Linked DNA regions of Caenorhabditis elegans. The protein of the gene in region 4 binds, or shares a complex with, the protein of the main gene of each other region. Each region holds a gene or a part of one and is shown on either strand. Other genes may lie near its edges. The genes, in order: pat-6, pat-3, pat-4 and unc-52.

Region 1 (4,540 bases), on a different chromosome or scaffold from region 4:
AGACACCTACAATTTGTTGATAACGAAGGATAGACGCATCGGGTTGATGATTAAACAAATTTGAAGGAAGTACACGAAATTTCAAAAATTTAAAGGTGGAGTAGCGTCAATGGGGATTTTGTCTAAATACGCTTATTATGATTTCAAACGACCGAATATCATAATAAAACTACAAAAATTTTTAGATTTTCCCTAATTTCGGTCAAAGTTTTGGCACATTACCAAAATTTTGACAAATATGAGCTTTTGAGGACATCCAAAGCAATGTCGCATATTCCGGTCTTTACAATGATTCAACAAAAATAATTGAAACAAAATTACAGTATAAAAAATGTAGGAAAAATAATTTTTTTTGGTCGACTTCCAAAATTATGAGTGGCAAAAACTGAATATTGAACACTTTTTGACAGTGAATAAAAATTTTTCAAAAAAGTTTTGAAAAGTTTTATTATGATTATTTGTCACTTTGGCACCATAGGAGTATTTTTTAACACTTACTCCATTGGCCCTACTCCACCTTTAATAATTTTCAGATTTCCTAATTTTCTAGATTGCATGCTAATTTTTACAATTACTAGTTCAATGTTTCTTAATCTGATTTCGGTTTAATGCAACTATTATCATACGCCAGGAAATCGAATGTACCGTACGTATAATCAATGTAACTGATGTGATTTTTCATAATTTTTTCCTAAAATTGTTTTTCAAAATTTTTTCAAAAATTGCTATGGAAAAAACTATTTTCAAAAGACCGACCTGTGGACCGACTGTACCGTATTTCCTCTATTAGTCTTGCACTCCTACAGACTAATTGAAAATCAGTCTTACAGCCTGTAATAGTCTAGCACCCCACTTTTTGTCATATTAGCAGAACTTTGTGGAAACGTAAGCAAATTTATCATTTTTGGAGTAAATCAAATGTAAAATCGTTCAAATAATTGATGTAATATTGGGAAAGTATGTATTTTTCATTGTTTGAACGGTCAAAATTGTATCACTTTCCAAAGTTCGAAAAATAGTTTTCAGTCTCTATTAGTCTTGCACCCCTAAAGACCAATTGAAAATTAGTCTCGCATGCAAGACTAATAGCGAAAATACGGTAAATGCAGAGTTGTTGTCTTTCTTAATTTATTTTTATTTTTATTTATTTGAATATTAGTTGTTATATGGACGTCCTTTTCTTTCTCAATACATATGCATATACAAATATTAACTTTCCGTTCTTCTTTCCTATTCCCATACATTTATATGTATCCCAAAGCCTTCTCTCTCCCCCACACACACCATTTATCTGCACCATCCTCTTTTCACCCAATCTCTCATTTGTCGTAAACTCTCCTTCCAACTCTACGTCTCTTATTGTTCCCAACACTCTCTCACTTTTTCAACACTGACGACGGCTGTTTTACACTATCTGCTGGCCTGGATGGGGACTTTTGTGTTGCTCTACGGAAAGAATCCTCCCACACAATATTTTTACTGCTATTTGAACATTGAATTATCGATTTTTCAAATTTAAATTTAAGTGCTTAAAGAGGAAATGTTCCAAAACAGAGTTTCATAATGAGACTTCAAAATTTTTTTAACTTATCAATATCTAATTGTACTTTATTTTTTATTATGAATCAACAAATATTTACCCCTTAATAATTTTAAACTTTTCAGCAATAACCATGTCAACACTTGGTCGTAGTAAGACCCCATCTCGTGACGAACCAAAAAAGCCTGGAGTCTTTGAGAAACTCTCTGGTACCCTTTCTCGAAAGAAGAAGGCGCCGGAAGATGAGCATGGAAACCAAGGGGGTGCACATCATGCTACTGATGAAGATGAAGTTTTGGAGGTTAGTTTTGCAAATTAATGGTTTTAGCAAATATAGATTTTTCAGCTTGAACTTGAAGGTCGTGAGGCTCTCGATCAGTCATTGGTCCCAGTTCTTGCAAGAAACATCTGGTTGGAAGAAGGTAAACGGTTTCACCAATATATTTATCCAATATATTTTTTTCCAGGAGAAATTCGTCGTTATCTGACTAAGGAAACAGCCCGCGATCAGAAGTTGGCACAAGTTGTCGATTTGCTGATCTACTGGCTTAATGAAGAGCTAGCTGATCAAAGAATTGTCGTTCGTCACTTGCAAGAAGATCTTTTCGATGGTCAAATCATCCAGAAGCTGTTGGAAAAGTTGGAGCAGATTCGAGTAAGTTATTGGTACAATTTCACAAATTGAATAAATTCTCCACTCACAGTTTTGTTACAGATCGAGGTTCCAGAAGTTTCGCAGTCAGAAGAAGGACAACGTCAAAAACTGCAAATTGTAGTTCAAACAGCCAATCGAATTCTCGGACAGCCAAGAGAACAAGAGAAATGGTCTGCGGATCTTATTCATCAAAAGGTACGCAAATCTTTGTCTGAATTGTTCATTTCTATCAGTCTTACATTTCATTGTGCAGATGTTTGACGCACTGTAGACAAAAGAGTTTCTCACTCGAAGCTGTTCCAAAAACTACCGTATATTCTATATTAGTATGATATGTTAATCTGTGGACACCTCCGCCACACAATACTATTCATCATTTACTATATATAAAGCGCTTATTCTGTGTGTCCATAGTTTGTAGTCTATGTAGTCTTTGTAGTCTGTGAAGTTTTGGCTTCTTGGGATAGTGAGTTGGGGTTAGTGTAGGGATATAGTCGAAGTACTGTATTGGCACAATAGTGGTACGGTAGGAATACTGTAGTTTCAGAAAAAATCAGTTTTCACCCCCAGGTCCACGGCTGGTAATCTATATAGAAATTCGTGAACTGCAATACTAATTTTCGAGGTGGTTTTTGGATGCAAAACTTATTGAGAATATACGATAGTTGAACGCAACAGTACTTTTCGAATAAACAGAGTTACTTTCCATATTTTATATTTTCTCATAAAAGAATATTCCCAGGACTTCACTGCCATCATCCAGCTCCTGGTGCTTCTTGCTCTTCACTACCGTGCTCCAGTTCGATTCCCAGATAACGTGGTTGCTAACGTTGTGGTGGCTCAAAAGGAACATGGTCAAGTGAAGACCCATCGAATTACTGAGCAAATCACTACAGTTCAAACTGAGTTGGCACCGAAGGGCACTCGTGACGCATTTGATACGCTTTTCGATTATGGACCCGATAAGTTGGCTCATGTGAAGACATCTTTGTTGGCTTTTTGTAATAAGCATTTGAATAAAATTAATCTGGAAGTAAGTTTATTCACTTCATTGTGCTACAAAGAAGCTGATATTTGTAAATTTTTAGGTGTCTGATTTGGATAATCAATTCCAGGACGGAGTTTTCTTAGTTCTCCTAGTGGGACTTCTTGAAGGTTATTTCGTCCCGCTTTACCATTTTAATCTCCAAGTTCAAAGCCACGAGGAGAAAGTAAAAAATGTGCAATTTGCGTTCAAACTTATGGAAGACACTGGCCTTGAGAAGCCTAGATCTCGTGTTCAGGATATTGCCAATGGAGATGTTAAGGTTTGTAGTTTTGACAATTTACAGAAAAATATACCATTTTCCTAATTTAATTCAATTTACAATCCTCAATTTTAAATAGTGCAAAATTTTAAGGGATTGAAATCAAAGTGTAATCGCGCTTCAGCCGGAAATGAAAATGTCCCGCCTCCTTTAATTGGGTCTCGTTAGGTATCGCCATTTGGTTGAAGCGCGATTACATTCGCAGTTGTCGAATTTTCTTTTCACGACGATTCAGCAATCCCGAAGAATTTTAAACAAGTGGCAAAAACAAATTTTCTGCTCATATCTGATGCGATGGATTTTCTATATACAATCCTAATTCATTCTTTATTGCAGAGCACTCTCCGTCTTCTCCATTTGCTTTTCACTAAGTACAAACATATCTAATCTGAGAACTTCATTCGTCATCCTAATCAAACGACACCGTCCAATAATTTGTGTCTGGCTCAACAACTATGGTGCTTTAATTTTGTTAAAATTGCATTTATGTCAATAAATCTTTTAATTTTTAGACTTAGCACTATATTAAATTAAAGAAATTGGCAAATTCCGAAAAAAAAACTCTATTTGAACTCCCTCGTAAAGGAGATTTGCAATGGGGCGCGTTTGCATTAATAAAATTTAATGCATTTTCTCATCGATTCTTTTATTCTTGTTTCTTTATTTTAATTAATATGAATTGATTGTATATAAAATTGTATTTATTTTACAGAAAATGCCTCTTCCACCAGCTCTTCTCGCTCGACTTCAAAAAAGGGGAATTGTAAAGCAAGAAGAAGAGGTTATCGCTGAAAACTATGAAAAAGAGCCAGAAAAGAAAAGTTTCGAAGAGAATTCGGCAGGAGCACCTGGTTGTCCAAATAAATGGAATCAATATCACGTTTGCCTCGAATTTTGCTATGATCATTGGGGCGATGGAACTCCGGAATATCGGTTTGTTTTGAATTTTAGCGAAAAATTAATTAAAAATCGTTTTTTTTTGCAGGTTGCCCGAGAGATATGTGCAGAACAAAAACAGAATGCTTGCAAAGTTTCCAC
Region 2 (7,569 bases), on a different chromosome or scaffold from region 4:
CTGCTAACAAAAGTACCAACAGTCGACCCCTCTTCTCATTGTGTCTGTCTCTCCACAGATTCAATGCTCTTTTATTCCGGGCTAGTGCTATGATTAAACACACAAGGGCAATACGAACACAGAGAGACATAGAGACAGAGGATACTAGTATATGTATGCACCAGATGTCTTACTACTTGTCATCCCTTGGTTCCCTTCTTCGTTTTGTTCCTCCCAATTTCAATTTCAATTCAGTTTGGATTTTGAATTAGTTCCTATCAGATTGTTATCGATTTGATGGATTGGAGACGGGAGACGGTGGGCGTGGGAAATTTAGAACAAGAATGACTCAGACGCTATTATTTTCTACTCTTTTCGTTATTTAAGTGTTGAAATCGTCGTTTTTCACAATGTCTAAATTGTTATATCGTTGTATGATAACTTTTGACAGCCATTTTAAAATTAATTATACTTTGACATTTTAATAATTACTAGGTGCATTCATAAGCTGTAAGAGCAAGAATTATAGTTATCTTCAAAGTTTCACCTAAACTAGTTTACCAGGAACAGTTTTGATGTTCAGCAATGAGTTTAAACATTTTTGGAATAGCGGGAAGCTTAAAAATACCCAAAATAGTCAGAAATTTCATTAAACCACAAAAAAAAGAAGGAAAATGTCGATCTAGAATGTGAAATCCTTTTTTTTAGTTTCAGCTAATATCCCTGTTTGAATGTCTTCCAAAATGAGAATCCACTCCCACTTTTGAACCAAACTAACGATATTGAAACTATCGAAAAATCCCTTTCCTCACCACATCAAACCCCCTCCTGTGAATTTCGCAATTTCATCGGTCTCTGATGTCTCTAGAAGCTCCCGATTCTAACGCCTTTTCACCCATTTCCCTTTGGTTTTCTTCCCTTCGTCTTCTTTGTTTCTTCGACGATACAAGCAGGTGTAACTCTCGTTACACTTTGGTCCGAGCCCCTCTCCCGGCCAACATAGAGCACTCTATCGCCTACACTATCTCTTCGAAGAGCATTCTGCTGCTGGGTTGATGGCAGTTGTGAAGAGAGAGAAGGCGAGAGATGCTCCTGTCGAAGCACTTGGCAGATCCGCCCACGTTCCGAAAAGAGGTGATCGGTGGACGTAGTTGATACTTTTATCGATTTTTAAGGTTTGAAAAGTTATGTGCATAACTTCCAAAAATGTTAAACGGATGAAGTTTTATCCCGAAATCTCAAATTTCATACATTACACATGTGTGCCTGCAGATACCGAATTAAGTTATTGTTTCCCGAAAATACTGTACCCGGTCTCGACACGACCGATTTTTCTCAAATCCGAGTTGTCTGAACTCCAATATTCCTCGCTGCAAGTTTTTTTATATTTTCCCCCGAAAACTATGTAATTTTCTAACAAAAAGAACATGACTCCGTTATACTTCCCGCATTCACTCCGTTTGTTGAGTAAACAATAAATTTTCCTACTATGGTGACTAATATTTCAAGAAGTCATTTTCTTTCAAAATTTCCTATATATTTTTTATTGTATAACTTTTATATTATAACTTTTTCTTCACTGAAGAAATTATGAATTGGGGATGTGCCATTTTTAGTATGATATTCTTGATTTTTATATCAAAATATTTTTTTCAAAAAATCTAACTTTTTTGGAGAGCTTTAAAAATTTCAAAAGTTGTATGAAAGTTGCCACCTGTTGAAAGCAGTTTGATATCAGGTTTCTGTAGAGTTTCATCATCAATTTTTCTTATAAATACACCATTTTTTAATCTCACCGTTTTTTTTTCTAATTACTCCGTTCTCAATGTACTAAAAGCCAATTAATTAATTTTTCAGTTGAACCTACCCGGCATCAAATGCCACCTTCAACATCATTGCTGCTCCTCGCAGCACTTCTTCCATTCGCTTTACCAGCAAGCGATTGGAAGACTGGAGAAGTCACTGGAAAAGTCGTCGAAAAATCAGAATTCCCATGCTACAGTCTGTCACGTGACAATTACACATGCTCAGCGTGCATTCAATATCATGAATCTTGCGCGTGGTGTGGAGCACCGGTATGTTAAATGCTTGAGACCATGAATTTATTTTATTTAATAAAAAAAATTCCAGATGTTCGACGAGAAGAAGCCATATGCCCGTTGTGATAGCCGTGCCAAGCTCATGGAACATGGATGTCCAAACAGTTATATCGAGGATCCGGCCACAAAATTGGATATCACTGAAGACAGTAAACTCTCCGATCAAGGACAAGTTGAATCTGAGGAAGAAGCCGTTCAGATCAAACCACAGGAGATGTACGTCGAAATTCGGCCCAGTAAGTTTTTTATATGGTTTTCAAAGATAATTCGTTTAAAAACTCGATGAAAATAATCAATAAAATACAAAAAATTTTTTGGGGTTTCAGCAAAAAAAACGAAGATTTCAGGGTAATTTCGTAGTCTTAAATTTTCAGGAAAAATTTGCACTAATTAAAGAAATGTTTTTCATTGATTTTTCACAACAAAAACCGCTGAAAATCACATTTGAAAATTGTCTCAAAAACACTGAAAAAAAAATCGTACTGCATTTTTTTTGCGGAAAGTTAAAATATTTCCGGTTTTGGTTATTTTCAGCCTCTTTTTTATTTAATTTTTATCTTAAAAAGCTCCTGTAATATACAATTAAGTGAAGTAATTTATTATTATTATCATAATTCGTTGATTTACACATTTTAGGCTCGTTTGACTATTTTTGGATTTTAAGAGATTTTTGGGCTTAAAATATGCCTAAATCAACGAATTAATGATAAACTTCTAAAATTTGCAATTCAGGGTGATTATAAAATAAAAATTAATTAGTGACCGCTGCGACTCGAAAACTTGTAAAATCACAAGATTTTTCTCTAAATCCAGTTCTTCAATATCAACAACAATCTAAATGTTTTTTTTTCAGAATCCCGTGTTCGTTTCAATGTGACCTACCGTCAAGCCGTTGATTATCCAGTTGACTTGTACTATTTGATGGATCTCTCATATTCCATGAAGGATGACAAACAGAAACTGTCCGAACTCGGAGACTTGCTCGCCGAACGAATGAGAACTGTCACAAAGAATTTCCGATTAGGATTCGGTTCATTCATTGACAAGAAACTTATGCCATTCATCGATCCACGAATCGAAAAACAATTATCTCCGTGTCCAACACCATGTGCAGAACCATATGGATTCAAGCATCAAATGTCATTGACGACGAACACGGCAAAGTTCAAGGCTGAAGTTGATAAAGCTGAAATTTCTGGAAATTTGGATGCTCCGGAAGGAGGTTTCGATGCTGTTGTTCAGGCGTTGGCTTGTAATGTAAGTGGTTATTTGATTTAAAAGAAAAATTCAAAAAGAATCAAATCAACATTTTTGAGATATCGGGAAAGCTTAAAATCTAAAAATCAATATTTCAGAAAACCATTGGGTGGCGTGAACGTGCTCGTAAAATGATCGTTTTCTCAACTGACGCTGGATTCCATTTCGCTGGAGACGGAAGATTGGCAGGTGTCGTCGAACCAAATGATGGAACATGTCATTTAGATAGAGAAGGATATTATACTGAAACACTTAATCAAGATTATCCATCAATTGCACTTCTTCATCAAATGATCAAGGATCGTAAGGCAAATGTCATTTTTGCTGTTACAAAGAACAATCAGGATTTGTATACACAATTGTCGAATGCACTCCCAGATGTTTCATCGTCGGTTGGAGTTTTGGCTAATGATTCAAGAAATATTGTCGATTTGATTGAGAAGGAATATTTGAAAATTAGTGAAAAGATCATTATGGTTGATAATGCAAATGCTTCAGAAGGACTCAAGCTCACTTACAGATCTATGTGTTTGGAGTGAGTTTTTTGAATAATATTCAATTTAAATGAAAGTTGGGAACTTTTGAAAATTAAAAAAAAAACAAAAAAACGCTGTAGAAACAGATTGAGAAAGACCTCGATCATGTAGATTTACGCAGGCTTCGTGTACTCCACGAGAAGAAGCGTTTTTGGCTGAAATTCTGATTTTGGATTATTTTGTTACTTTTTTTGTATTTAACATTCAAAATTGGTAATATAATTTTTATTTATGGTATTTCAGGTGAAAATCTGTTAATTCGGTGTTGAAACCTTCAGATTCATCCGCTTTTACATAAAACAATATAAATAATTGTAAAATATCTACAATATTGCCCTCGCCGTGCAATTTTCAATATTCATTTTTCTCGAAATTAAAAAAAAAGTAATTTGAATCGAAAAATTGAGCTCTCTTAAATTCTCACGTTTCTAGACGAAAAAGTCTTCACATAAAATTGTTTTAAACTAAAAAAAAGCACAATTTTGGAGCGAAACTATTAAAATTATTACAATTTTATTCTAAAATTTGACCCTATAAATAACCGTAATTTTTCAGCGGAACCACACTGAAAGATACCAATGTTTGTGAGGGAATTCGTGTTGGAGATGAAGTTCAATTCGAAGTAACCCTTGAAAATACTCATTGTATCGATAAACGTGATTTTGTTCTCCGTATCGGACCATCTGGATTGGATGAGACACTTATCGTTAATGTTAAAGTTTTATGCGATTGTGATTGTGAACGTCAAGACAGAATTGTGACGAATTCGGCTGATTGTAACGGAGGAGATATGGTTTGTGGAGTTTGTCGATGCAAAGGAGGAAATGTTGGAAAATATTGTGAATGTAATAGACCTGGAATGAGTACTGCTGCGCTCAATGAAAAATGCAAAAGGTATGGTTTTTTTTAAAATTTAACATGAAAATTATGTGAGAAATAATTTTAAAAAATATATTGGCCGAGCAGTATTAAAAAAATTTTAATCGAAAAAAAAGCTATAAAACTTCTATGGCTGGAATACTAATCGAAAATTGATTGGAATAAAAATTAAGATCACAAAATTTTGAAATTCCTTGAAAATTTCCAAATAAATTGATTTTCTGTAGTTTTTTCTTTTTAAAAATTTCAACTGAATTTTCTCGGTTTTTTGGATAAAATTTGACGCCTTCGATGGAATCACAAGAAAAAACGAGAAAATCCATTTAAATTTGCCGGAAAAACTCCGAAAAAAAGGTCGTTGCCTAATCAGAAGTTTAAACTTTTGCTCGAAAATTTAGAAAATAATTTTTGCTTTCTTACATTTTTTAAAAAAATTCAGAGAAAATCAAAAAAATTGGAAAAAAAGTTAGAAAATTAACAAAAATTAAATTGTTTATCAAAAATGCTAAAAAATTTAAGCTATTTTTGTTTTCCGTTTTTTCTTTTTTAAAAATTCTAATGATCTAATTTCCAGAACTAACGAATCAGCAATCTGTGAGGGTCGTGGTGTGTGTAACTGTGGACGTTGTGAATGTAATCCACGTGCCAATCCAGAAGAACAAATCTCTGGAGAATTCTGTGAATGCGACAACTTCAATTGCCCACGACACGATCGTAAAATCTGTGCAGAACACGGTGAATGCAACTGTGGAAAGTGTATTTGTGCACCTGGATGGACTGGAAGAGCCTGTGAATGCCCAATTTCAACTGATTCATGCCTCTCTGCAAATGGAAAAATCTGTAATGGAAAGGGTGAATGTATTTGTGGAAGATGTCGATGCTTCGATTCGCCCGACGGAAATCGATATTCGGGAGCGAAATGCGAAATTTGTCCGACGTGTCCGACGAAATGTGTGGAATACAAGAATTGTGTAATGTGCCAGCAATGGCAGACAGGGCCACTTAATGAGACCGCCTGTGATCAGTGTGAATTCAAAGTTATTCCTGTTGAGGAATTACCCAGTAAGTTAAAAAAATATACTGATAAAGCAGAAAATCAATTTTTTAAATGTCAGAAACTTTTGAAAATTTTATTTCTGAAAAAAAAACACGTTTGATCGGAAAATTTAAAGAAAAAAAGATATTAAAATATTTTTTCGAAATATTGGAAAACTAAAACTTTTGATTTATCGAAAAATAGCTTGGAATTTTGCCCATTTTTCTTCTTTTTTTAAATGGAAATTTGATTTGATTTGTTAAAATATTACACTTTTTGTTAATTTTCTAAACGTTTAATCTTGATTTTCAGGAAAATAGAAACATTTTTTCTGAAAATAATGGATTTTGCCTTAAAATGTGTATAATACTTAAAACGTAAATATTGCAATTTTGCTAATTCTCTAAACCTTTTTTCTCGATTAAAAAACTTGAAATTTTGAAATTTTAAAATTTCCAGATCTCAACGAAACTACACCCTGCCAATTTGTGGATCCAGCTGATGATTGTACATTCTATTATCTCTACTATTACGATGAGGCCACAGATAATGCAACAGTCTGGGTCAGAAAACATAAAGATTGTCCTCCACCTGTCCCTGTGCTCGCAATTGTGCTCGGAGTCATTGCGGGTATCGTAATCCTCGGAATTCTTCTCTTGTTGCTCTGGAAATTGCTCACAGTACTTCATGATAGATCCGAATACGCTACTTTCAATAACGAAAGGCTTATGGCCAAATGGGATACGGTAAGTGACACGGAACAAAAAACATATAAATTTATCAAATTATCATTTTTCAGAACGAGAACCCAATCTACAAACAGGCCACGACAACATTTAAAAATCCAGTATACGCTGGAAAAGCCAACTAAATAGTTTTTATCCTTATATTTTAATAATTTTCCCAAATTTTCTAATATGAAAGCTCAATTTCTCCATCCAAACAACTCGAAACGAGTATTTAGCGATAAATTGTCACATTCTTCTTTGTTTTATTCAAAAAATCTCCATTTTTTTGTTTTTTTTTCCTTCATCAATTGTTCATCACACTGCTTTTACCCCATTCTAAATACGGATTTTTTTCTTCCTTCTCTATATATTGACTTGCTTTATATTCATCTTTCATTGCCTTTTGTCCCTCTTAACACCGACCAACAACTCACACACTTCTTGTACTATTTCCAATTTTCAATGGTGCTTTTATTTTTGAACTATCTTGTTCGAATTTTTCATGTAATATTAATTTTATATGAAAAAAATCTGAAAAATTAATTTTTTGTCTTTTTAATTTTTGGTTGAAACTGATATTAGCCATAACTATCTGAGAAGACATGTTAAATAATATTTTTAAATTATAAAAAGGAAAAAAAATTGCGCGTAAAGTGAGGAGCTTGGTGTTTGCATCCAAGTGCACAGAAAGCATTCAACTTGACGACAATTTTTTATTTCTTTTAATTTCTTTAAATTTTTTCGTTTAAAATTGGAATTCTTTTTATCCTATTTACCGTGTGGATTTTCAATTTTTCAGTTTAGAAGATTCCCAAAAGTTCGAAAAGTTTCAAGTATTTGACCCGAAGTGGTTTGACAACTGTTATTAAGCCTGATTAATTTATTTTTTGCATATCAACCGATTTAAAATTTAGTATTTACCACTTAAAAACGCTAGAGACTACAATAATCAAATATCTGACCCTCCTTCAAAGAATAAACAAGTTTTTTTTGACGTGAATTGTAGGATTGAAAAAAGAAAGATAGAGAAGTGACTAGACTTTTCTTAAATACGC
Region 3 (7,759 bases), on a different chromosome or scaffold from region 4:
ACATTTTGCGAAAAATTCCGAAAATTGGTTAAAAAATTTTTTTAAAAAACCTGGAATTTTCCAAATTTTTTTTTCTAAAAATTAAAAAATTCCGAAAAATCCTTTAAAATTTCTTACAGGGACCCTCACTGACTCCGCCCATTCGAAACTACGAGGCTCCGGACGGCGACTACATTGATACTACGAGAAATTGGGCATCTTAGAGCCGAAAATTGTTGATTTTTATGTGTTTTATGGGTATTTTTGTTGTAGACAGTGACATAGGATGACGCATTAATAAAGGAATTATCGATTTTTATGGAAAAAACTAAAAATTTCAGTGAAACCGAGCTGGAAAAAATAAATTTGCCACTGCGGGGATCGAACCCAGGCCCTGTGATTGGCGGGCGAGGTCACTAGCCACTAGGCTACACGTGCAAATTTTTGGCAACTGATTATTTGGATACATGAAACTTACTGCAGCGAACTTTTTTGTCGAAGAGTGTTTGCGTACAGTAATCCTTACATTTCATAAGATTTTATTGATTTTTTCATAAATTGAGCAATTTTTTTTGACAGTTTAACATTTAAAATTAATATATAGACGGAAAATGCGATGGGGCTGGACAAGGAGCAGGCACTTTTGATGTAAAGCTTTGATAAATTGAATTTTAAAAAAATTGTTGAAAACATTAGAAAAGCAAAATCGATAAATCATAATATCATTCTCTCTAAAATCGGAATGATTTGATCAAAGTTTGGCCGACGTCCCGGGTCCTCGTTCATGCAAATGTTCATCAAACGGTTCATATTACGGGCGATTCCAGGGGGAATGTGCACTCGGAGACCTTCCAGAGCGATCTGAAATTAATAAATTTGGATTCAGCGTGAAATTTGGGTCTGGAAACGCTGATTTTGGAGGTGTAAGGGGTACTGTAACCCTAAAAGTACGCAAACACTGAATCTGACGACGACTTGCAGAAAAGCGGTGGAAAATGAGTTTTTTGAGTTTATTGAGGTAGAAAGTGACGGGAAATTCAAATTTTTTGATAAAAATTATATTTGATCAAAATTATACGAAGAAATTCGAATTTTTTGACAAAATTTCAGAAAAAAATTTTGATTTTATCTCAAAATGTCAACAAACTGTGGTTCAATTCGAATTTCTCGCAAAATTTTGAGCGTGGTCAGTCGTTACTAGACGTTTCTATTCCATTTTCAGGGCTTTCGGGGTACTGTAGTCTCGGAAGTACGCAAACACCGAATCTTACGACATTGAGCCCAAACGAGCTAAAAAATGTTGTCACGGCCTGTTTTGAGCTTCTGAGTTTGAATTTAAGAATGAACACTTTTGAAAAAAATAATAGAAAAACAATTTTTTTTGGGCCAAAAAAAAATTTTTTTCCAAAATTTCATCCGAAATTAACTGATAGATTAATTTTAGGATTTTAACATCATTTTTCACACTTTCAGCCCTCCAAAAACCCTCCCTTACCTTCATTCCGCATTCCATTGGCGGTAGATCAGAGAATGGGACCTCACGAGTGTTCAGCTCCCACAACAATATAGCAAATGACCACATATCGGCAGCTCTAATATTCAAGTCTTCTGGAGCCCGTGACAAGGCTTCTGGGCTCATCCAGGCAGGCGAATAGGCTTTTCCGACCTCTTGGAACGAGAATTTCGTATCTGCCATTGAGAGTTTGGCGGTGAGCTCCTCGTCGACTACAACGTGTTTGGAGGAGAGGTAGAACCTGGAAACTGGGCTTTAGGCTTATGATAGCTTAAATTATCTGAAACTCTAAAATTAGTTAAGAAACGTAAAAAAATGGGGGGAAAATTAAAAAATTAAAAAAAAAAAAAAAAAAAATTTTTTTTAAGTTTTTTTTCGAGTAGTGCCCCAAAAACTCTTGGATTCCTGAAAACAATTTTTGAAAATTTTTGTTGTAGCTACTTTTCGAAGAACATTATTTCAGGCACATTTTAAGCCAAAAACCGTTTGAAAGTATCAAAAACTAAAAAAGTTATGAACTTTTGAAATTTGGAAAAAAAAATCCAAATTTTTTTAAAAACATAAAATTCAAATTTTCCCGCCAGAAAAATGGGCGGAGCCTATAAAAATTTATACTTTTCTGGGAGCTCTTTTTAAGCTCCATTCAACCACACTAACCTCAAAAGCATAGGGTCCAAACTGTGCAAGTAGCTCATTCCTCTAGCAATGTCCAACGCGAATCTGACGGCTTGCCCGTGATCAATGACGACAGCTGCAATATTTTATTGATTTTATTAAATTATTTCAGCGATTTTTCACAAATTAATGTCAAAATCTAATAGATCTCGTTAAGAGCTTTCAGAAAAGTATAATCATGCCTAGGCTCCGGCCATTTTAGCATGAATTCGAGAATTTTTGGGTCTCGCCACGAAAACTGTTGGGTTACTGTAGATAAGTTATCTAATATGATATTGATAATTTTACTAAAAAGACAATTTTTTGAGTTATCTGTGCGCAGTATTTTAACAAAAAATCTCAAAAATTGGGAAAAGTACAAATTTTGAAAAAAAAAAATTTATCAAAAAAAAATTTTTTTCTACTTTTTCGAAATCAAAAAAAAAAATTTTCAAAACATTTTCTAGGACTAATTTTTGCGCCCTTTTCAATGAAAACCTTCAAAACTCACAACTTTGCTCGTGGAGCACGTTATACAGGCTTCCAAATGGCATGTACTGCGAGATGATCACCAAGTTCGGTGGCTGGTTAGCCGCGGCGAGCACCGCACAAATATTCGGATGAGCAAAAATACGAAGAGCCGGAAACTCGGTCTGGAAGTCACGTGAGATACGGGCGGTCACTTCTTGAACATTCAAAATTCGCGCCACAATATCGTTGCCCTGCCATTTTCCACGCCACAGTTCTCCGGAGTGTGATTCAGCGATCTGTAACAGAGTGGGGGTTAAGCTGGAAATTTTTGGGATTTTTAAAGTTTGAGGTAGCTTATCAAGTTCATCTTGATCTAGACTTTCAGAAAAGTATACATTTACTCAGGTCAAAAAAAATTTTTATTTCGAAAATGAAGTTTTTTTTTCAAACATTTCAAATCTTAATAACTTTGCCAATTTTTAAGATTTTTTGCAGATTTTTGACATAAAACACGTATAAAATATTGAAAAACAGTATTATTTATATTAAATAATAATATACACTACGGTAAGTGAATTCTGGAAGTTTACGTAGCGGGTTCCAATTTTCGACGAGTTTTTGAGTCCCACCGCGAAAATCCATAGTGTTAAGCTGTTTTGTGTCAATACAGTATTTTAATATTTTATTGACGTAGAACAAGTTTTTGTGCATATTTTGAGGTTAAAACCGGCTGAAAATCTCAAAAACAGTCAAAGTTATGATTTTTTCAATGTTTGAAAATTTTCCTTAAAAAATTTTTTTTTTCGAATTTTTTCAGAAACTTCGAAATTCGCGGAAAATTCCCATCCTTCAACGATTGAAACTAATTTTTTACGCTGAATTTGAATTTTTAAGTTATTTTCCACTGAAAAAATCTATAACCCACTTTAGTGATCAAATTCAGCGAGGAGACGTCGACTCCGGTGTAGCGGGACAGTGTGGCGTCCCGAGTACGGGACTTTGTACCCTTCCATGTGGTATCCTTGAATGGTACACGGTCATTTGGAGATTGTCCATGTTCTTGAGCAATTTCTAGAAAAAATCGATAATTTAAAAATTTATTAGAAAAAAGTCATCCCAAAAAAAAAACTTTTTGCGAGTCAAAAGTCTTTGCTGAAAAAAACATTAAATTTTTGTACACATTATTTTTAAGTATCAAAATTAAATTTTGCTCACCAAGAGCTTTCTGAAAAGTATAATCATGCCCAGGCTCCACACAAAATGAGCATTGCCCAGAAGACTTCAGAATTTTTGGGTCTCACCACGAAAACTTATAGGGTTACTGTAGTTTATGTTTTTCAATTTTTTAAGTTAATTTACCAAAAAGCTTGATCTTTTAGACTTATTTTAACGTTAAATTAAATCGAATCGCTTGAAAACTAAAAAGTTATGAGTTTTTGAAAAGTTGTAAAAATGTTGAAAAATGTTTTTTTTTTCAAAAAATGCATTTTTTCTTCTAAAAATCTTATCTATATGTTTTCCGACTAAAAAAATTCAATTTTCAGATTAAAATGCACAAAAAACTTACCCAAAATAGTGTTTTTGCACATTGGCTGGCAAACGTCCAGTGGGGTCATTCCCTTCTTGTTGCACACGTTGACAGCGGCGCCGCAGGAGATTAGGTCCTGAAGTTGTTATTTTGCAAGAAATCAAGGTAATTATTAACAAATTCAAATTCAGCTTGTTAAGAGCTTTCAAAAAAGTATAATCATGCCCGGGTTTTGAAAATTCTACAAATTTTCGATAAATTTTTGGGTCCCGCCACGAAAACTCCCAGGGGCTACTGTAAATAGGGACTTTTTGTGTTTTTGGTATAATAAATTGAAATTTTAAAATATTTAGGACGCAAGTATGAAAACATAAAAAAAAATAGCCAAAAAACTTCCAAAGTTATAAAGTGTTGAAAAAATGATTTTTTTTTCAGAAATTTTTTCCGGCAAAAAAAAGCTCAAAATTTTTGGTCAAAAGTGGGCGCATCCTTTATGAATTTATACATTTATTAAAGCTCAAATCTAGTTATATTTGATTATAAAAATAATTTCACCTAAACTATACATTTTCATTGCGAAATTAAAACTTTCCGAGAAGAACTTATTCGAAAATTTGGAAAAAAAATTTTCTGAATTTTTTGAAAAATCATTTTTTTCCAATTTTCCCAAAAAATTTTCCCAATCGAGTTTATACTTATTTTGAAGCTCTAAACAAGCTCTATTCGAATTTATCAATAAAATCACCTCAGCAATTTGTTCATATCCCCAAAAGCAAGCATAATGCAGTGGAGTCATTCCGTGCTCGTTGGTAGCGTTAACATCGGCTTTTCTCGACAAAAGCTTCACCACAATTTGTCGGTGTCCATGGGCGGCCGCCAAATGCAATGACGTGTCATCTCCCATATTCGTAGAGTTTACACGTGCTCCACGTGACAGGAGCATCTCTGCAATCGCCACGTGGCCGCCCTTCGCGGCCCAGTGGAGCAGTGAGAAGGCGTGATCGTCTCCGACGTTGAGATCGTGCTCGTGATCGTCCAACCAGACGCGGACCTGAAATTTTGATAGTAGTCTTAGTCTATAGTAAGGATTGTGATAAATCCTCTGCAAAAAAATTGGACAATTTCGGTGAAAGTTGATCAAGTTAGCATGAAAAGAAAAATCGGACAAAAATTACCGGAAATTCCAGATTTAAGCTTAAAATCTAGCTTTAAACTTGATTTTTCAAATTGGCAACAATTTTTTTCAAATTCAGCTTAATTTTAACTTTTAGAAAAGTATAAATTTGTATAAGCTCCGCCATTTTAAATAGGAATTTAAATTTAAAAAAAAAAAATTTTTAATGAATTTTTTTTTTAGAAAATCTCAGAATTTCGGATTTAAATTTAAATTTTTTTAATTGAGGAAAAACATTAACTTTCAAAAAAGTATAAATTCATATACGCTCCGCCCACTTTTCAGCGAAAAAATTTGAATTTTTCTAGAATTAAAAAAAATAATTTCCAAACATTTTCAATTTTTTTCCAAATTTTTTTTTTCAAAAACCTATACAAAATTATACTTTTTCAAAAGCTCTCATCGAGCCTAACCCCATAAAAATATTTACAAAACTCACCTGAAAAGCGTTACCCTCGCGGACCCATCCAAACACATCCTCCATTATAATGGGCACATTTGGCTTGTGCGCATGGTAATGAGTCGACAAAGACATTGTTGACTGGAAATATAAGGTTTTACGTGTGAAATAGTGTAAAATTTGAAAAAATCAAGAAAAATTGAGCAGGAACATGTAAAATTACAACAAAAAAAATCGGTGAAAATTGAAGAAAAAAACTATTAAAAAATCAATAAAAATCTCCAAAAATTTCCAAATTTTCTCAATTTTTCCAACTTTTTCCCGGGCCCCATGAAGCCCGGAATCTATAATTTCAAGCCAAAAAAGTTAGATATAAGAGACATAGACAAATAAACAATGCAATAAGTACAACAGAAAGCAGTAGAATTTTGCTGAGGCGACGGCATGGGGGGGGGGGGGTCAACATTGTTCCCCCGCTGGCCAGGCGAGATAGTAGAGGACTATGTAGGAGACGCAGAGAACAAGACGAAATTTGTTGTAAATGTATGTATTGTGGAGAGGGAGTAGTATCCCGCGCAGAGAACAAACGGCAAGCGATTGTGGGATATCTTTTCGTTGACCATTCCGTCGTCTAGAGGTTGGCTCAGAAAAAGCTCTGAAACTTCGCTTGAAATGAGCTTCTGGTCTTGAATGCTAAGAATTTGAAAAGATGAGAATTCGGGCTTTCAGAAAAGTACAAATTTGCCTGGATTTTGCCTGAAAATTTTTATCAAAAAACCGGCAAATTCGCTTCTAGGACATTTTCCAATTTTACCTTTCACAGCTAACTCCTGAAAAAGCTCTAAAATTTGGCTGAAAACGAGCTTCTGGTCTTGAAAATTCAAAATTTGAATAGGAAAATTTCCGAGCCATCAGAAAAATATTAATTTATGGTAACTTTCTCTTAAAAATTTTGAGGAAATCGTAATTTTTGCTCTGAAGCTCCGCAGCGAGTTTCAGAAGAATTACTGTAACTTGGCTGAAAATAGTTCGACAAAGTTATACCTAGTTTCATTAAATTAAGCAGTTTAAGGGTTTTCAGAATAGTATAAATTTGCTAAAAAAGCTTTAAAAAACCCCAATATTCCAAAGGACTTTTTTGATTAAAAAAGTAATTCAAAAAAAATTTTCACGTTATTTCAAAGCCCCCATCGCACATTTTTGTGCCCAAAAGATCTGTAAATTTTTCCTCTACAGCACTGAAAAGTTATGTATCAATTCCTGTAAAAACTCTTGAAATTCCTAGCGTTTTCGTGGCGGGACCCAAGTTTTTTTAGCAATTTTCTTCTCAAAGACTGGGTTTACAAAATACCTGAACCCGGAGCATAACGAAAAATTGTGAAGCTTAACAAAGTTACCACTTCACAATTGCAGCACTAAAATTCAATGACGTTTTTCAGACAAAAAACCATTTTCAGACGCTTTTCCCAAAACAGCCAAGAAAGGGCCTAACGTGGCCTAACATCCCAAAATTTTGCCACGTGGCAGAAAAATAACGGAATATCATATCACTAGAAAGTATATCATAAAATTGAGTTGGTTTTGAGGGGGCGAGAAGCTCATCGGAAGAAGGTATTCAAGAACATTTGAGAGAAAGAGAAGAGACGGGGGAGAGAGAGTGTGAAATGCAGTGAGAGACGCAGAGATTTGGTTCCCGTGGGAGTCGTGTGAGTTAGAGATAAAGAGATATGGAGAGAGATAGGAGACGCAGAGAAGCAGGGACGGATGTTGTAACACGATTCTCGGATGGAAACTGAGCATTGATGATGATGATGCCAAGGATTTTGGGGACCGGGAGGGTTGCGTAGAAAATTATTGATTTTCTGACAATTCCAGCGGGGGGAGTCGGAGTGTCCCATTTCGGTTTGATCTACGTAGATCTTCTACAAAAAATGCGAGAGAAGAGCCGCAGAGTGTTCTCAACTGATTTAGCAACGTGCTGACGTCACATTTTTTCGAGCTAAAAATTCCCGCATTTTTTGTAGATCAAACCGTAATGGG
Region 4 (4,665 bases):
AGGAGTGTGCGGCAAACGATTTTTCTGGCAAATCGGCAATCCGGCAATTTGCCGATTTGCCAGATTTGCCGAACAGCAATTGCCGCCCATTCCTGAATTATTTAGTGCATCTACAGTAATATCTTATAGAGTATCCATACAGGCTCTGGAATACTACTGTATTGCAAAAATGCGGTCTTTTTGTGGGTCCAATGTATCCCTACGATTTCCCTACTGTAGTTTCACAGTACAACTTTGTTGAATTTAAAATTCCCCAACCCCTTACCTTTTCATCAGAACCATCATGGCAATCTTTCCATCCGTCACAGACGACGACAGTTGGCACACAAACATTTGTGGACTCGCATCGGAACTCATTCGATTTGCATTGCACTTCTGTAATAAGTCAAGTCGACGAAAGATTTTCTCAAGCACGGAGCACAATTTTTCAATTTTTCCTTGAGCATTTTCTCCTACAAGTGTGCGAAAAACAAAACAAGTGTGCTGGTCAAATGTTTAACTATTGTTTCTCCGAGCACACACACACACATGTGTGTGTGTGCTCTTTTCGTCCCCTCTCACCTTGTTGGAATAACCGGGTCTACTGGCTGCTTTTCAACTAAAAATTATTGGAAATGAGTCATTGATCTATCTTCCATTTTTTGGTACTAGTATTTTTCTCACAATGAAAAACATCAATTATTACATTCTAAGGAGCGAGGTAGTATCTAGCACCTATTATAACGAAATGTTCAATGTATTTTATGACTAAGAGGCCCCCTACCAGAGCAATGTTCCTCGTCATCACCATCTGGGCATTGAACTCGGCGATCACAGAATTGGGCGACTGGAAGGCAATGTCCAGATTTACAGGCACGCTCCCCGCTTGGGCATTCGTCGGATTCGGTGGCGACACGGTCGGAGGTGATGCGGACCTGAAATTGAACATTTTATGAATAGCTAAAAATACTGTAAATGGAAATTGGTTCTGATCGGTTTCGGAATAATGAAAAATTTTGATTTTAGAAATTTTCAAACATATTTTCACTTGTTTGAAGTCCTTTAAGTTGAAACACAATGTATCAAAATATGCAAATCGGAGAAGAAAAATTTTTTAAAAAATGGACCAAAAAATTCATGTGCAAATATAATAGTCGTTGAACCTCTCAGTTACAGTTTTGCCAATATTTTTGGAAATTTAAAATTTTAAAGGAAGTTTCAAACCATCAATGATAGCATATATGGAAACCCCTTTCTTAATATTTTTCTCAAATTTCCTGAATCACTTTCCAACGCTTACCTCAAAATCAGCCTCCACATTTATTCCTTGCACAATCATTTTATAAGTTCCATCATCTGCGTCGGTGGCGTTGATGATATGAAGATGATGTTTGTCTCCTTTTTTGTAAACCGTCACACGCCCGTCTTCTGCCAAGGTCATCGAGCCAACTCCAAGAAGAACGCTGTCTTTGGACCAAGCAATCTGGAATAATCAATAGTTTTACACAATATTAAAAGATTTTTCGGAGCATTACCTCAATTCAAAAGTCAATTAAGAAACTTTTTTTTTAATTATCAACATAGCTTGGAATTAGAAAATTAAGCATAGCCTCCAATCATGTAGACACTTTTTTATAATCAAATAAAGTGTATACGAACCTTATTATCCTCTACCGAACTATCAATTGAAGCCGAGAGATGGATGGATCCATGTTTCTGAGCGAAGACAACTTTCTCAGTTTGATGGATGATTGGTTGATGCTGCTTGCATTTTCCATGCTCCTTGTGCTCATCTGATCCATCTGGACAGTTGCGTCTTCCATCACAACGTTGATCCGCCGGGATGCATGACTTGTCAAGGCATGTGAATTCTGTGGTGGCGCAGGCTATTGACGAGTCTGCAATTTTTGGTAAAGTAAGATTTTTCAGGCGACTGAATAATTTTAACATATAAAACAACACACAACAACACACAACAACACACCTCTTACAACATGAAGCTCAAAACCCTCATCGGAAACCGTAAGGTTCCCAATTTTTCCAGACTTTATCGCGGACAACAACACATCAGACACCAGTGGTGACTCTTTTTCAGCGTACAAATCCACGTAGACAAGAGATCCAATGATTTTGTGATATCTGGAAGTTACAACAACATATAGGTACACACACATGTACATACATACGCATGTATTTACACAAAATACTCTATTGTTGACTTTCTCTCGTGGGAGGAAGCGACCGTTTTTTTTTTGTTAAGAATTATCAGAAAACATGACATTGGAATTTGGAAGAATTATTTGAAAACTTTAATATATACTTTTTAAAATTAAGCTGCAGAAGTATGCCTTCTAAATTAGTATTGTTGAATTTTGAATGACCGCGGACTCCGGACCTCGGACTTCGGACCTCGGGCTTCGGGTTCCGTTCTCCGGACGATGGACTCCGGGCTCTGCACTCCGGACTCCCAATTTTGGAACCCGGGTCTCCGAACTTGCGGATTACGGACTCTGGGTTATGGCCCACGGGCAACAGTTACGGGTTTGGATTACGGACTGATGGACATTTTGTAATTTTAAGATTCCGCAAAAAAGTAAATATGTGGAAATTAGGGGAGCAATTTTAGAATTTCTTGAAAAGTGAAAAACGCCCAAAATTGTCGATAACCTTTTTCACTCAAAACTCACTTATAATCGGCAACCTTAGCTGTATGCCTTCCTTCTAGATCCTTGACCAACTCTTGAATAGAATGAGCTATATCTCTAGATGTGCTCACGAACTCATCGCTCTCAACGTTCTTCAACTCCTGAGTGTACGGTAGTTCGGGAAAGTTGATGGTCAACCGGTAGATGACCGTCAGTGAAACGACGGAGAACAGCGAAAACGCCATCCCCCCTAACTAGTTGACGGGGGGTATAAATGAGCAGTAGGTCAGTTTTAAAAAAAGAAAGTAAGGAGATAGAAGGTTGCTAGACAGAGGCGCGCGCTGACCGTCGGCGGCGGCGAGGCACAGCGGCACAGTTGCAACTTCTTAGGCCCCGCCCACTTTTTTAGGAGAAGCTTCCACCCTCCTTCTTCTCTAACTGAATTTCTTTCCTGACTCAGGTAAATATTTGCATTTTAGAGCCGCCTCTCTTGTTGCGCCTGCGCGTCTCGCAACTAGCATAAACACATCACACACACTCACACTCACTCACACACTCACATACTTGAATAGCTTGTCATGCACCACGTTGGACGGAGTATCATGGTATATAACCGTCTCATAATATATAATATAGATTCGCATGTTTCTTGCTTATTGTTATTATATTAGACGCGGTTGCCGCTATTGGGGGTGCAAGTTTGAAAAGAGCTAGAAAATTTGGTAGCATTGGTGTTTGAGAAAATATTTCCAATTCTAATGCGTTTCTGGCCATTAGCTGACAGTAACCAAATCATACAGTTCTCATGTATACTTTCTAAAGCAATTCCAGTGTGTTTAAGCTTCAAATCTAGCAGTCCTCATTTTATGTAAAACTACATAATTTCCAGAAAAGTACAAAAATTCAACAGAACATATAAAATATGTTGATGTTGCATGAATACATAGTTGCAAAACCACAATTTTCCTAAAATTTTCAATTTTGGCAACTGCCAAAAATAAAATTTGTCGGCCACTCTCTTGATACAGAGTGAATCCACAGTACCTGGCGTTTCACGTCAAGTGCATTTGAGTGTGCTACCATAGTCTTATCGAAAGACTTTTGTACATACAATAAACCTAGCCACTTCGTGATCAATTCATGAATTTCAATTCAAAACAACTCTATATTGCAAATTTCTGAATTCTAGGATTTTTCTAGGAAGGCGGTGAAAACCATGTACAAAGCTTCGCCTTTTTCAAGTTGCTCCGGCCCGCGTGCACTTTTGATTTCATTTGGCAAAAAGAGTTTTTGTTGCAATACCCGCCCAAACCATCATATATCCTGTCCAAACAAAATATCCCCAAATCTTTTCCGACATACACAGGTCGTCGTCATCTCATCACTCGACGAGAGTTCCCCGATCATCAAACCTCATATTGGTGGCTCGTCTTTTCCGTCCGATTTTCACATCCTCAAGTGTTTATAAATAGAGGAAGAATCATCTCCCAGAGGTTATAGCTTTGACTATATATATTTCATTTTCCCATACCTTTTATAATCACTGATATCGCCACCTCACCAAAGAAGGTGGCGAAAACTGTCGAAACCTTCCGATTATATAAAAGTACCCCCACAAATATTGACACAACAATTGGACAGTCTTCAAGCCGATTTAAGGGAGGAACGGTAGCTGCTTGGAATGGGGGTAGTAGGTTAAAAGGTGAAAAGCGGCGAGGAAAAAGAGTGGAAAATTGGTGGAGAGCTGGGAGAATTGTTTGCTGATTTTCGCACTATCCCTATACTTCTTGCATCTAAAAGTGCAAATCTTTTGGGGAAAGCTGGTGAAAAAAATTGGGAGTTAATTAGAGGAAAAAACAATTGGAACAAACACAAAATTTTCAAGAGAAAAAATATGATTTTTTGAGTACAGTGAGTAAATATATGAAAGTGAATAAAATTTTTTTAAAAATGGCAAAAATAATTTAGCAATTTTCGAAAAAAAAAGTTTTTAAGCCCAAACAAAACCATAACACAAAGCATTTTGAAAAAAATACAGACA

The links.
Region 1: unc-52 (region 4) and pat-6 share a complex: the UniProt entries of both Caenorhabditis elegans proteins name them as parts of the integrin containing attachment complex.
Region 2: unc-52 (region 4) and pat-3 share a complex: the UniProt entries of both Caenorhabditis elegans proteins name them as parts of the integrin containing attachment complex.
Region 3: unc-52 (region 4) and pat-4 share a complex: the UniProt entries of both Caenorhabditis elegans proteins name them as parts of the integrin containing attachment complex.

What each region holds. Positions count from the first base shown.
Region 1 is NC_003282.8:261,358-265,897, reverse strand, and holds pat-6 (Paralyzed arrest at two-fold protein 6), read left to right. Parts: upstream 1-1,665; 5' UTR 1,666-1,673; coding exon 1,674-1,841; intron 1,842-1,886; coding exon 1,887-1,962; intron 1,963-2,007; coding exon 2,008-2,195; intron 2,196-2,255; coding exon 2,256-2,390; intron 2,391-2,937; coding exon 2,938-3,228; intron 3,229-3,283; coding exon 3,284-3,502; intron 3,503-3,838; coding exon 3,839-3,889; 3' UTR 3,890-4,012; downstream 4,013-4,540. Other genes in the region: pqbp-1.1 (WW domain-containing protein), read left to right, coding at 4,218-4,435, 4,488-4,540. UniProt on the Caenorhabditis elegans protein: Involved in the regulation of cell adhesion and cytoskeleton organization. Component of an integrin containing attachment complex, which is required for muscle development and maintenance.
Region 2 is NC_003281.10:3,908,417-3,915,985, reverse strand, and holds pat-3 (Integrin beta pat-3), read left to right. Parts: upstream 1-1,836; 5' UTR 1,837-1,856; coding exon 1,857-2,054; intron 2,055-2,109; coding exon 2,110-2,314; intron 2,315-2,931; coding exon 2,932-3,335; intron 3,336-3,433; coding exon 3,434-3,870; intron 3,871-4,426; coding exon 4,427-4,765; intron 4,766-5,324; coding exon 5,325-5,812; intron 5,813-6,245; coding exon 6,246-6,532; intron 6,533-6,585; coding exon 6,586-6,657; 3' UTR 6,658-7,055; downstream 7,056-7,569. UniProt on the Caenorhabditis elegans protein: Integrin alpha ina-1/beta pat-3 is a receptor for laminin. Integrin alpha pat-2/beta pat-3 recognizes the sequence R-G-D in its ligands. Plays a role in cell migration, morphogenesis and probably in cell-cell interactions.
Region 3 is NC_003281.10:88,950-96,708, forward strand, and holds pat-4 (Integrin-linked protein kinase homolog pat-4), read right to left. Parts: upstream 5,861-7,759; 5' UTR 5,855-5,860; coding exon 5,759-5,854; intron 5,197-5,758; coding exon 4,891-5,196; intron 4,282-4,890; coding exon 4,185-4,281; intron 3,689-4,184; coding exon 3,543-3,688; intron 2,914-3,542; coding exon 2,658-2,913; intron 2,244-2,657; coding exon 2,150-2,243; intron 1,734-2,149; coding exon 1,475-1,733; intron 841-1,474; coding exon 694-840; 3' UTR 504-693; downstream 1-503. Other genes in the region: mrpl-40 (Large ribosomal subunit protein mL40), read left to right, coding at 120-203. UniProt on the Caenorhabditis elegans protein: Probable pseudokinase that acts as an adapter protein. Component of an integrin containing attachment complex, which is required for muscle development and maintenance.
Region 4 is NC_003280.10:14,681,428-14,686,092, forward strand, and holds the start of unc-52 (Basement membrane-specific heparan sulfate proteoglycan core protein), read right to left. Parts: upstream 3,030-4,665; 5' UTR 2,870-3,029; coding exon 2,667-2,869; intron 2,119-2,666; coding exon 1,964-2,118; intron 1,878-1,963; coding exon 1,639-1,877; intron 1,463-1,638; coding exon 1,280-1,462; intron 915-1,279; coding exon 764-914; intron 376-763; coding exon 266-375; intron 1-265. UniProt on the Caenorhabditis elegans protein: Component of an integrin containing attachment complex, which is required for muscle development and maintenance. Probable structural role in myofilament assembly and/or attachment of the myofilament lattice to the cell membrane.